3 linked regions of the Rattus norvegicus genome follow. The protein of the gene in region 1 interacts with the protein of each later gene in a biochemical or structural test. Links are inferred from orthologs where the notes say so. Each region holds a gene or a part of one and is shown in the gene's direction. Other genes may lie near its edges. The genes, in order: Map2k7, Mapk8ip2 and Gadd45b.

What was found.
Region 2: the proteins of Map2k7 (region 1) and Mapk8ip2 form a complex in vitro, tested with the Homo sapiens proteins (2 studies listed by BioGRID). The link is inferred for Rattus norvegicus from reciprocal best matches to the Homo sapiens genes MAP2K7 and MAPK8IP2.
Region 3: the proteins of Map2k7 (region 1) and Gadd45b form a complex in vitro, tested with the Homo sapiens proteins (2 studies listed by BioGRID and IntAct). The link is inferred for Rattus norvegicus from reciprocal best matches to the Homo sapiens genes MAP2K7 and GADD45B.

Annotation. Positions count from the first base shown.
Region 1 is NC_086030.1:7,388,503-7,392,165, forward strand, and holds the start of Map2k7 (dual specificity mitogen-activated protein kinase kinase 7), read left to right. Parts: upstream 1-764; 5' UTR 765-850; coding exon 851-974; intron 975-2,618; coding exon 2,619-2,666; intron 2,667-3,663. UniProt on the Homo sapiens protein: Dual specificity protein kinase which acts as an essential component of the MAP kinase signal transduction pathway. Essential component of the stress-activated protein kinase/c-Jun N-terminal kinase (SAP/JNK) signaling pathway.
Region 2 is NC_086025.1:122,409,343-122,412,987, forward strand, and holds part of Mapk8ip2 (C-Jun-amino-terminal kinase-interacting protein 2), read left to right. Parts: intron 1-2; coding exon 3-281; intron 282-397; coding exon 398-497; intron 498-611; coding exon 612-1,859; intron 1,860-2,236; coding exon 2,237-2,312; intron 2,313-2,447; coding exon 2,448-2,620; intron 2,621-2,710; coding exon 2,711-2,820; intron 2,821-3,566; coding exon 3,567-3,645. UniProt on the Homo sapiens protein: The JNK-interacting protein (JIP) group of scaffold proteins selectively mediates JNK signaling by aggregating specific components of the MAPK cascade to form a functional JNK signaling module.
Region 3 is NC_086025.1:9,428,500-9,432,244, reverse strand, and holds Gadd45b (growth arrest and DNA damage-inducible protein GADD45 beta), read left to right. Parts: upstream 1-1,526; 5' UTR 1,527-1,758; coding exon 1,759-1,802; intron 1,803-1,890; coding exon 1,891-1,992; intron 1,993-2,416; coding exon 2,417-2,639; coding exon of another isoform or gene 2,640-2,843; exon of another isoform or gene 2,844-2,881; coding exon 2,882-2,995; 3' UTR 2,996-3,556; downstream 3,557-3,745.

The DNA of each region.
Region 1 (3,663 bases):
ACTTAAACTATGTTGGATGCGGATGGATCAAGCAGGGCAGAGGCATCTAACCCCAGGGACTGCCTTCAGACATTGGTTTCAGGAGCTGAGTCCGGATTCTCAGGGCGAAGCCATGGGGATGGGACGCCTTGAGGTCTCAGGGCCAGAAGTCTATCTAGCTTTAATCTTGATTCTGACACTGAGCTCAGGAGTCACCAACCCTGGATTCCCTCTCCTCTTGTCAGGCTTTGATCTACTCTCAGTTTGCTGGAACTGGGTGAAATGGAAAGGAGTTACCACAGGTACCTAATTACAGTGAGGAGGCGGCTTCAAGCTAACAGCGAGAGTTCAGGCCGCAATTAAGCATAACAGGTCCTAATGAAGGACTGTCCAAGGTTGAGGAAGGTTGTTCTGTGAGGGCGCGGGTACCAGAGAGGCCTGGAGATGCACACGGAGTGAAGAATAATCCAGGAACAGCCGTGAGCGTGCGCAGCAAAGGCGCGAGTTTGGTCTCTGCACGCAGGCGTGCGGTTGACCGGCCTTCGCTTTCTCTTTTTTTTTTTTTTAAAGTGATTTCCAACAGCGCCACACCCCGCCCCCGGAAAGCTCACGCATGCGCACTGCGGGAGGTGGCGGTGGGTAGTGACAATGCACGAGGCCAGACTCGAGCTCTAGGTGGCATCGTCTTCCTATTGGGACCCAGTGCGCACGCGCGGCGTTATGCACGCGAGGCAGGGCGGGCACGAGCCGGGGTGGTCTAGGCAGGACGGCGGCTCGGCGGGGTCATCCTAGCGCAGGCGCAGTGCGGTGTTTGTCTACCCGGGACTGACGGGTGGCCTGGCGGTGAGCGGCGGCAGCGGCGGCGGGGAAGATGGCGGCGTCCTCCCTGGAGCAAAAGCTGTCCCGCCTGGAGGCCAAGCTGAAGCAGGAGAATCGTGAGGCCCGCAGGAGGATCGACCTCAACCTGGATATAAGCCCACAGCGGCCCAGGCCCAGTAAGCACGGCCGCGTGGGGGAGGGGCGGGCGGGGCGGGGCGCGCAGTGGGAGGCCCCGCCCATCGGGCAGATCCTGCCCCCGCTTCCGGGGCGCTAGCTCTCCTCCCCTCCACTCTCTACGCTGTCAGCTTGCAGGGAGAGGGTCACGGTGACCTGGGAGTCGGGTGGGCAGTCTCCAGGGCTACTCGGTCCCCACACATACCGCGGTCCTGAAGTTCACAGCATGGGTACCTGAGAGCTTAGTGTCTGGGTTCCCCTCACCCCCATGGTCGGCTCCCAGAGCCTTGTCACCTGCACCTCGCAGGCTTTCAGACCCGAAGCTAAGCTACTGTGACTACAGCCAAGGCTCTCAACTCTGCAAACAGTTATATCTCTTTTGATTCAGTGGTTCCACTCCTGCCGTTTCAGTGACTGTCAAAAGGTCCCTTCCCCCAGCAAACAGTCCACACACGTGCATGCTTGTCTGTCCACGTAGGTCACCTAGTCTTCATCTACATCTAATCCTTTTCGGTGAGAAGCTTCTTCCGTTTGACTTCTTTGATCATATCAGATGGCTCCTTAGCTGGAAGGACCTTGTCACCGGACCCAGCTGACTGCCTCCTACATACAGGGGTACCTCATATCCCTGTGACCAGCTAGTTTCACTATTGCTGTCTAGTGTGTCTAGCCCGCTGGAAACACATAACCATCTCTCAGCCTGACAATTTTGTCTCCTGGGCTCAAGTGACTGCTAGCACTACAGACACCTGTAATTAGTCTAGTTCCATCAAGTAGACACACACCTCCTTTCTGATTCCACCATCTTTGGGTCTGCCTCCCTGACATATAAGTGCTTCCCCTTTCTTTCTGTACACATATACGGTTTGTCCATCATAACCACAGTTAGCATCCTTGTACCCCAGATATCCCTGTCCCCAAATCATCTTTGCTGGAAAGAATCTGATTTTTCTCTCTTCTTGCCAACCTTCTCTCTGTCCCTCTTTGATCCAGCAGAATGTCTTCTTTATATCCTCTGTGATATAACCTTTGAGTATATATATGTTTTATAGTTGTCTGTGGGGTCACTATGGTAAGAGGGGAAAGGCAGCCTCCCATAGGAGAGAATTCTGTTCACTATTTGGTCGTCTTCCTGAAGAGGCATTCAGGATTCTCTCCATCTCTCCCAGCTTCTGGCCGAGTTCCATGTTTCCTTCCTGGGAGTCTCTTCCAGGACCTGGAGATACCCAGAGGTGGGGGATGTGTTTCATTGGATTCTGCCTAGGACTGAAGGCTGGGCCAAGACTTGGAAGGCCCCTGCTGGATTCTAGGGTGGTCCTTCCACGCCTCAGTATGGATGAGACAGTGTTGGGTATAGGGTTCTACGTGCCCTAAGAGCTGCCGGTCCGTAGAGCAGATTAAGACCTGGTCAGGCTAGTGACTGGCAGGCCTCAAGGAGCCCCCTGCAGGTGTCTGTGTCTGTCAGATCCACACCCCCTCCCACCATCCCATCTCTGTTGGTTTCTACCCATCTCTGCAGTTTGGTGCCTTGTGCCTCCCCCTCCTCTTCATTATGATTTGATTTCTTTTCTGTTGGACAAATCGGTTGTTTCTGTTGTGATTTATTGTGGTGTTTTTTTTTTTCTTTTCTTCCTTTCCCCATCCAGTTATTGTGATCACTCTAAGCCCTGCTCCTGCCCCGTCCCAGCGAGCAGGTACCAGCCTTTTTATCATTGCTGCTTGCGTATCTGCACATTGACCTAACCGCTGCCCCAGCCGCAGAATGCCATCCCCACCCCATGCTCTGTGTTGTGCTCTGTGTGTGTGTGTGTGTGTGTGTGTGTGTGTGTGTGTGTAAATAAAGTAGGTAGAGATAGGTGCACTGCTCTTACTTAATCTGTCTCAACTATGGAGTGAGTGAGTCGTCATTTGTACACTGTGTCTCAGGCCCAGGAACACAGCAGTAAGTAAAACAGACCAAGCTCCTGTACGGTGCTGAGTCTGCAGGACGGGGTCCATCAGTACACACGAAGCACAGTCCTGATGCAGTAGAAGAGTCCAGTGGGGTCTCTCAGAGAAAACCTATGGAGGATTTGGGATTTGAGCAAAAGTGTCCCAGGAGGTTAGGGGAGGCAAGACACCCCCTGCCCCCACCCCCACCCGCACACATAAGGACTCCATGCTAGGTAGCTCAGCTGTGCTGGTTCCTAGGTGTATAGTGTCCCATCTGCATAAGAGAAAGAGCACCTGTGTTGGCAGAAATGAGGAGAGCTGACTATTGGTGGTAGTGTGCTCCCAGCTCGTGTGTATACGTGGATGTGTGCATGTGTGTTCCGTGTGTGCTCCCAGCTCGTGTGTATACATGGATGTGTGCATGTGTGTTCCGTGTGTGTTCCCAGCTTGTGTGTATACATGGATGTGTGCGTGTGTGCTCTGTGTGTACATATTTGTCTGTTTGCATTTGAGTGTATGTATGTTGGGCCGGTAGTCTGCACACCTAAGGGCCCCATAAGTGGGCACGTGACTCCATGATCTGTCTTGCTTTCTCTCATTCATTCATTCATTTATTTGTTCGTTCATTCTCACTTTTTTCTCCCTCACTGACTTATACTTAATCTACTCTCTAGGCCTGCCATGTGGCTCTAATCCCCTCTAACTTCTGTTCTCAGGGCTTTTGTGTATCCCCCTTTTCCCATCAAGTTCATGCTTCAG
Region 2 (3,645 bases), on another chromosome or scaffold:
AGGACAGTCTCTCCCTGGGTCGCTCAGAGCAGCCGCACCCTATCTGTTCCTTCCAAGATGATTTCCAGGAGTTTGAGATGATCGATGACAATGAGGAAGAGGAAGATGAGGAGGAGGAGGAAGAGGAGGAAGAGGAGGAAGATGGAGACGGGGACGGCAGAGCAGGGGGAGGATCTGGTTCACAGGAACTTTCTGGAGAATCCCTTATTCCCTCTCCTTCCATAGAGGAGTCCCACAAGCTCCGACCCACCACCCTCCACCTGACTACACTTGGAGCCCAGGTGAGCCTCCTGAGACACACAGTACTAGAGCTGAGTTCGGGGCCACTGTAGCGGGTCCTTTCTTCTCCTTATTGACGGAGTGGTCCTCAGCTATACCGATTTGTCCTCCTACCTAGGACTCCCTCAACAACAACAGCAATGGAGGCTTTACCTCTGCGCCCCCATCTTCCTGGCAGGAAACAGTGCTGCGTTCACCAGTCCAGGAGCCCCTTAAAGGTGAGGGATGGAGGCAGTTAGGAGCCCAGCGGAAGAGGGAGGGGGGGAGGGATGGCTGGTTGCTTGAAGGAGGCCTGCTTTCTGGAGGCAGTAACCCAACTCTCTGCCCTGCAGAGCTACCAGCCCCTCTCTTACCAGCAGAAGAGGAGCACCATGAGGTACAGTCCCTTGCACGCCCTGGTTGTGACTGTGAAGGGAACCAGCCGCCAGAGCCACCAGCATCAGGTGGGGCTTCCCCTTCCTCGGATCCTGGTATCGAGGCTGACTTGAGAAGCCACTCTAGTGGAGGCCATGAAGGTCGGCGAAGCAGCCAGGAGCTCTCATCACCAGGCTCGGACTCTGAGGAGGCAGGCGGCGCACGCCTAGGGCGCATGATCTCTTCCATTTCTGAGACGGAGCTGGAGCTGAGCAGTGACAGTGGCAGCAGCAGCGGCCGCTCCTCACACCTCACCAACTCTATCGAGGAGGCTTCGTCCCCAGCCTCAGAGCCTGAACCTGAGCCCGAGCCCGAGCCACTACATGAACCTCCCCGCCGCCCTGCCTTCCTGCCTGTGGGCCAGGACGACACCAACAGCGAGTATGAGTCCGGCTCTGAGTCTGAGCCTGATCTGAGTGAGGATGCTGACTCGCCCTGGCTACTCAGCAACCTGGTGAGCCGCATGATCTCCGAGGGCTCCTCGCCTATTCGTTGCCCTGGCCAGTGCTTGTCTCCTCCTGCACCACGCCCGCCAGAAGAGGCTGCATCCCAGGCCAACCCGGTACCCCAGGACTGCCCAGACCCTGAGGCAGTAGCAGGGCCCCACGTGGAGTTAGTGGACATGGACACCCTTTGCGGGCCACCTCCGCCGGCCCCTGCAGCACCTCGGCTTGGTCCAGCGCAGTCTGGGCCCTGCCTTTTCCTTAGTAACCCAACACGTGATACCATCACCCCACTTTGGGCCCCACCTGGACGCACTGCTCGCCCTGGCCGCTCCTGCTCTGCTGCCTGCTCGGAGGAGGAGGAGGAGGATGAGGAAGAGGACGAGGAGGATGAGGAGGATGCTGAGGACAGCGTGATTCCCCCTGGCTCCAGGACTACAGGCTCTACTGCGCCGCTGGATGCCTCGCTGGTGTACGATGCGGTTAAATACACACTAGTGGTGGATGAGCACACGCAGCTAGAGCTGGTGAGCCTGCGGCGCTGTGCAGGCCTGGACAACGACAGTGAAGAGGACAGCAGCTGCGAGGCCAGTGAGGAAGAGGCGGGAGCTACGTTACTAGGCAGTGACCAGGTGCCAGAAGACGCCTCTCCTGACAGCCCCGACCTCACCTTCTCCAAGAAGTTCCTCAATGTCTTTGTCAACAGCACATCTCGATCTTCCAGTGAGTGGGAAGTGGGGAGATGTGTGGAGGCCCTAGAGGAAGAAGTGCCATCCTGGCCCCAGCCCCTATCTGGTCCCCCGAAGTATCCAGGGGGTCTTTTTTTTCAGGGGGTCTTAAATTCTTGACCAGTTGGTCAAGGCTGGACCATTCTTTTTTTTTTTTTTCTTTCTTTCTTTCTTAGAACAATAGGCAATGTTCATCTCCAAGTGGCAGGGAGTCAGCCGGTAGTGGGTTACCCTTTCCTTCTTCCTTGACTTAGGATGTCCAAACAGTTTGTTGCAGGGAGGGGGTTTGGCTCCAGCCCAAGGCCAGGCCTTTCAGTTTCTTTCTCTATGGCACTGCTGATTCTCCCCATCACTGTCTCTCTTGTCTCTCAGGCACTGAGTCCTTCGGTCTTTTTTCCTGTGTGGTCAATGGAGAAGAGAGAGAGCAGACACACCGGGCTGTCTTCAGGTACATTACCCTCCCTCAGCCCCACCCCAGGCCCAGTCTGTAGACTCCTTAGGACACTAAGGAGTGTGACTAAGGAGTGTGTATGTGACTTATCTCGGCCAGTGTGGTCTCAGTCAACCTCTCCCCTGCCCTCAGGTTCATCCCTCGACATCCAGATGAACTAGAGTTAGATGTGGACGACCCGGTGTTGGTGGAAGCCGAAGAGGACGACTTTTGGTTCCGTGGCTTCAACATGCGCACCGGCGAGCGTGGAGTGTTCCCTGCCTTCTACGCCCATGCAGTACCTGGTCCTGCCAAGGACCTGCTGGGTAAGATCCCACCCTCCAGAGAAAGCTTGCCACCACAGACTTCCCCCATATCACCCTCTGACCATGTGACTTCCTCTCCCAACCCTCCAGGGAGCAAGCGGAGCCCTTGCTGGGTGGATCGCTTCGATGTGCAGTTCTTGGGCTCTGTGGAGGTACCATGTCACCAGGGCAATGGTATCTTGTGTGCAGCCATGCAAAAGGTCAGTGTGGAGATGGCGTCAGGCACAGGCTGGAGGCCCACTTGAATGTCACTCCAGTCTCACAGGGTGGCACAGCTCCCGTGGTTCTAAGCCTTCTTGAAGGGAGATATTATATATAGGGCTGGCTCTCAGGCCCAGTCAGAAAAACTCAGAGCAGAGCAAAGCACCTGTCTCTCTTACCTCTGGGTCTATTGGTCAGTTCAAGCAAATCTTTCCCCTCTCTGCTGATTCCTCCTCCCGTAAGCCATCAACCTTCTGTCTGAAATTAAAGTCAATGCTCATGCCCCCTTCCCTGGGAATCCCTGAGACAATTATCAGTACCTGCTGATCTGCCATGCAAAACTGAGCCTGACGTGCCCTGGGTGGCAGGACAGACCATCTATATCAAAGAACTCCAGCCAGGTTATGGAGATCAGGCAGTGAGGTGGCTGGAAGTGTGGGCAGAATAAGTTCTTGGCACCTGAACCAAGAGAAGCTGTTGGAACAGAAGGGAGACCAGGTACATAGTGATGACTGACTTGTTCTGAAGGCAAAGATAGCCAAGGTCATCCTTTTGTTCTTCCAGAATTGTCTCTGGGGCCTTAGGTGACAAGAGTACGAAGACAATCTAAAATGAACAGAGGCTTGGAAAGAGAGAGAGAGAGAGAGAGAGAGAGAGAGAGAGAGAGAGAGAGAGAGAGAGAGGGCACCCATGATGAGGTCCTCAAGGCCCCCTTCCCCACCATCTTCTCTGACTTCTCCCTCAGATTGCCACAGCCCGGAAACTAACGGTCCACCTGCGCCCTCCTGCCTCTTGTGACCTTGAGATCTCTCTGCGGGGGGTCA
Region 3 (3,745 bases), on another chromosome or scaffold:
TGTTCTCTCCCCTCCCTTTCCGGAAACTGCGTGAGCAGAGACCTCGTGGGACCGCCAGGTGTCGCCGCAGCGCCTCTCACGCCCGGGACATTTCGCACCTTGGGTGGGCGGCGCGGAGGATGCAGGATGCGTCACCAGACCCGGGATGGGGGATCCGGCGAATCGAGCCGCGCGGCTGAGGCCAGGACCCAGGCTGGCGGAGGAGGGGACTCAGGGTGATTCACCGGGAGCCCCCGTGCGCTGTGGGAGAATCCCACGCGGGGTCTGTCTGCCTCCCTCATGTCCTTGCCGTCCGCTACCAGCCCTCATACTGTGGCTCACAGAACGCCCTCGGAGACCTCAGTTTCCATTTTGCACAATGCAGATAGCCGGCCAAACCTTGGAAAGATAAATGACACTCATGGAAGAGGGGGCCTGTGGTTCATGCTGCGTACTACAAAAATGCCAGGGACATAAAAGGGGCTGCCGGGTTGGGGATTTAGCTCAGTGGTAGAGCGCTTACCTAGGAAGCGCAAGGCCCTGGGTTCGATCCCCAGCTCCGGAAAAAAAAAAAAAAAAAAAAAAAAAAAAAAAAAAAAGGGGGCTGCCTTTCAGCCACCACTCCCAGGGGGCAGCACCGGATCAGGTGTGGTGACGCGGTCTGAGGATAGACCGGGAGGCAGCCGGCAGGGGGCGGGGCCGCTCCGGAGAGCGTCTGGAAGGCTCTTCACCTGCGCCTCCCCGGCTCATCTGAAACTCGGGGTGCCAGGAGCGGGGAAAAGGGGTTCCGGATCTTTCCTCCTGGGATCCCTTAGTGCTCTGCAGCCAGGACCCCTGGGGCACCGCCAAACCACCTACCACGACCACTGGGAAGCTTCCTGTGTGCCTCTCCCGCGACCCCCGCCTGAGGGGGCTGAGCGTTCTCAGAGCACCTTTGTATGCGCTGGTGGGATGCCTTTGTAGTTCTCACTTTGGGGAGAGGATCCCACGGTCCTCAAACTTACCAAGTGTTTACTATATACCTTAGACTTATTTAAACACTCTCCAACTCTCCAAGGCCGAGCTGCAGACTTAGCCTCCTGGCCCATGCACATCCCTTCTTTTAGAGCTTGGGAAAGGCTAGGGACTCTCCGGGGACAGGGAGGGGATTCCAGACAGCTCTCCCCGAAAGTTCAAGCCAGCCTCTCGCGCTGGAAACCCCGCGCGCGGCCTGCGTAGCGCGGCTGCCGGGAAATCAGGAGAGAAACTTCTGTGTTTTTTTTTTTTTTTTTTTTTTTTTTTTTTGTCTGTGTGTGTGGTTTTTTTTTCCTCTCTCGATTCGCTGGCAGTCGCCGCTGCCTGGGTTCACGCTCCTCCCAGCCCTGACCCCCACGTGGGGCCGCCGGAGATCCGAGCTCCGCCCTTTCCTACCTCCAGCCAATCTCAGCGCAGGCTACTCGGCTCTTTGTGCCTCCACCAATGGATGGGCGGTGCATGCCTCCCCTGGCCACGCCCTCTCCCGGGCGGTCTTATAAGCGGCTTGCAGCGCCGGCGCGCTCACTCCGCGTCAACCCGGGATCCGTGTCACCTCCGTCTTCTTGGATTAATTTCGAGGGGGATTTTTTTGCAATCTTCTTTTTAATCCTGCTTTTTTCTTGGGAAAGTAAGTCCCACCGCCTCCGGAAAGCCTCGGACACTTCTGGTCGCGCGGGAAGGTTTTTACCTCTTGGGTTCGGATCTGGACGAGTGCTTTGCCTTGGGGATCTTCCGTGGGGGTCCGCTGTGAAGTGTGACTGAATCATGACCCTGGAAGAGCTGGTGGCGAGCGACAACGCGGTTCAGAAGTGAGTACAACGGAGACCGAGGTCTTCTCGCCCGCCGCCTGAGGTCTGCTGGGCTGTCATCGCCTAATCTCCCCATTTGGCCTTTTAGGATGCAGGCGGTGACTGCGGCGGTGGAGCAGCTGCTGGTGGCCGCGCAGCGTCAGGATCGCCTCACCGTGGGGGTGTACGAGGCGGCCAAACTGATGAATGTGTGAGTCAGCACCCCCTTTTCTCGGGCGTGGGTGGGGGCGCCCCTCTGATGCACGCGCGCTCCAACATCCCTCTAGGGCTCGGGGCTTTGGGGGACTTTCCCAGCGCTCCTGGGAGTTGGGGAGTGGAGGGCGACATTTCTCAGAGAATTTTTTGGGAGAGGGAAAGAGACTCGCTGCAGAACCCTGACTTTGCAAGTTTGAGGTTTTGTGTTTTTTGTTTTGACAAGCAATCCCAATAACTTTGGACTGCTTGCTTCCTTCCTCCCCGCCATCAGTATTTGCATAGTCGGCCACCCCGGCACCCTTGCACCCTGGGTCTTGCTCACCCCTCCCCCTGAGGTTCCCGGAGCTAATGCCCTCCTCCGTGCATGGCTACACCCGCTCCTGGTCTGGCGTCCCTCTGACACTCCTTCTTTCCTGCAGGGACCCCGACAGCGTGGTCTTGTGCCTGCTGGCCATAGACGAAGAAGAGGAGGATGATATTGCTCTGCAAATTCACTTCACCCTGATCCAATCGTTCTGCTGCGACAATGACATTGACATCGTCAGGGTATCAGGCATGCAAAGGCTGGCGCAGCTCCTGGGTGAGCCGGCAGAGACTCTAGGCACAAACGAGGCCCGAGACCTGCACTGCCTCCTGGTCACGGTGAGTGACCCACCCCGCCCTGATCACCTGGGTCCCGTGTTTGTCAACATAGCTGGGCTGGCTGCTCCAACACCAGCTCACTGCCCAGCCATGCTCGGCATGTCCCGTGGGCTGCCTCGTCACCCTGGCAGCTATTTTGAGCTAGCCTGTTTTTCTCTAATAGGGCTTCTGGAGCTGAACAGAGGCTCCCTACCGAACTCCTAGAGCTCCCACTAAACCCTTTCTTTTTCTCCCTCCAACAGAACTGTCATACAGATTCCTGGAAAAGCCAAGGCTTGGTGGAGGTGGCCAGTTACTGTGAAGAGAGCAGAGGCAATAACCAGTGGGTCCCCTATATCTCTCTGGAGGAACGCTGAGGCCCACTCTAAACACCTAAAGCAACTGTTGAGTTGCTGTCCCCTAAAAAAATTAAATAAAATACATATTTGACAGCGCCCCCTCATTCCCCAGAACAATCCCTCAAAAGCTACCCTACCCGTGATACCTTCCGGGAGGGGCGGAGTCACCGAGACTGAGACGAGGAGAGGGGAGTGTGCGCCCGCCCGCCCCCTGGGCTATGGAGCCAGGAGCCAGCACCACAGGTGGTCGCCAAGACAGGAAGGAGGGGACCTCAGGCTGGAGGAGACAGAGACTTTAGAGCCAAGGCCTGGCAATCATGCAGCCAGCCTCTGCACGCAGCAGCAGACGGTCTGGACACCGCCGCAGGGGTGGGGCGAGGCGTCCCCCACCCCGCTGGACAGTGAACTGTGCGTAACTCAGCGGAGGGCGGCGACCCTCGACGCGGGAGCCGGGACTCGAGCCCGGGACTTCGCAGCTAAGGCACATCTACTTTAGTATTGTGCTGAGCAAGACAGATCGCTTGCATATTTTTTAAAAATTTCTACTACAGAGACATTCCAATAAACTGGTTAAGCCTTCCTGTTCTCGTTGTTTTTCCCACTTGCCCACCGCCCCTTCTGGCTACCCTGTGTCGCGCCACCGGCCACCAAGCCGTGTTAGGAGCTCTGAGCTCCGCAGCTCCAGACGCTACTGCTGTCTGTTGTAGGCGCCACCACCCAACTCCAGCTTCATAGCAATTAAGACGCGGGTTTATTACGAAACCTGGC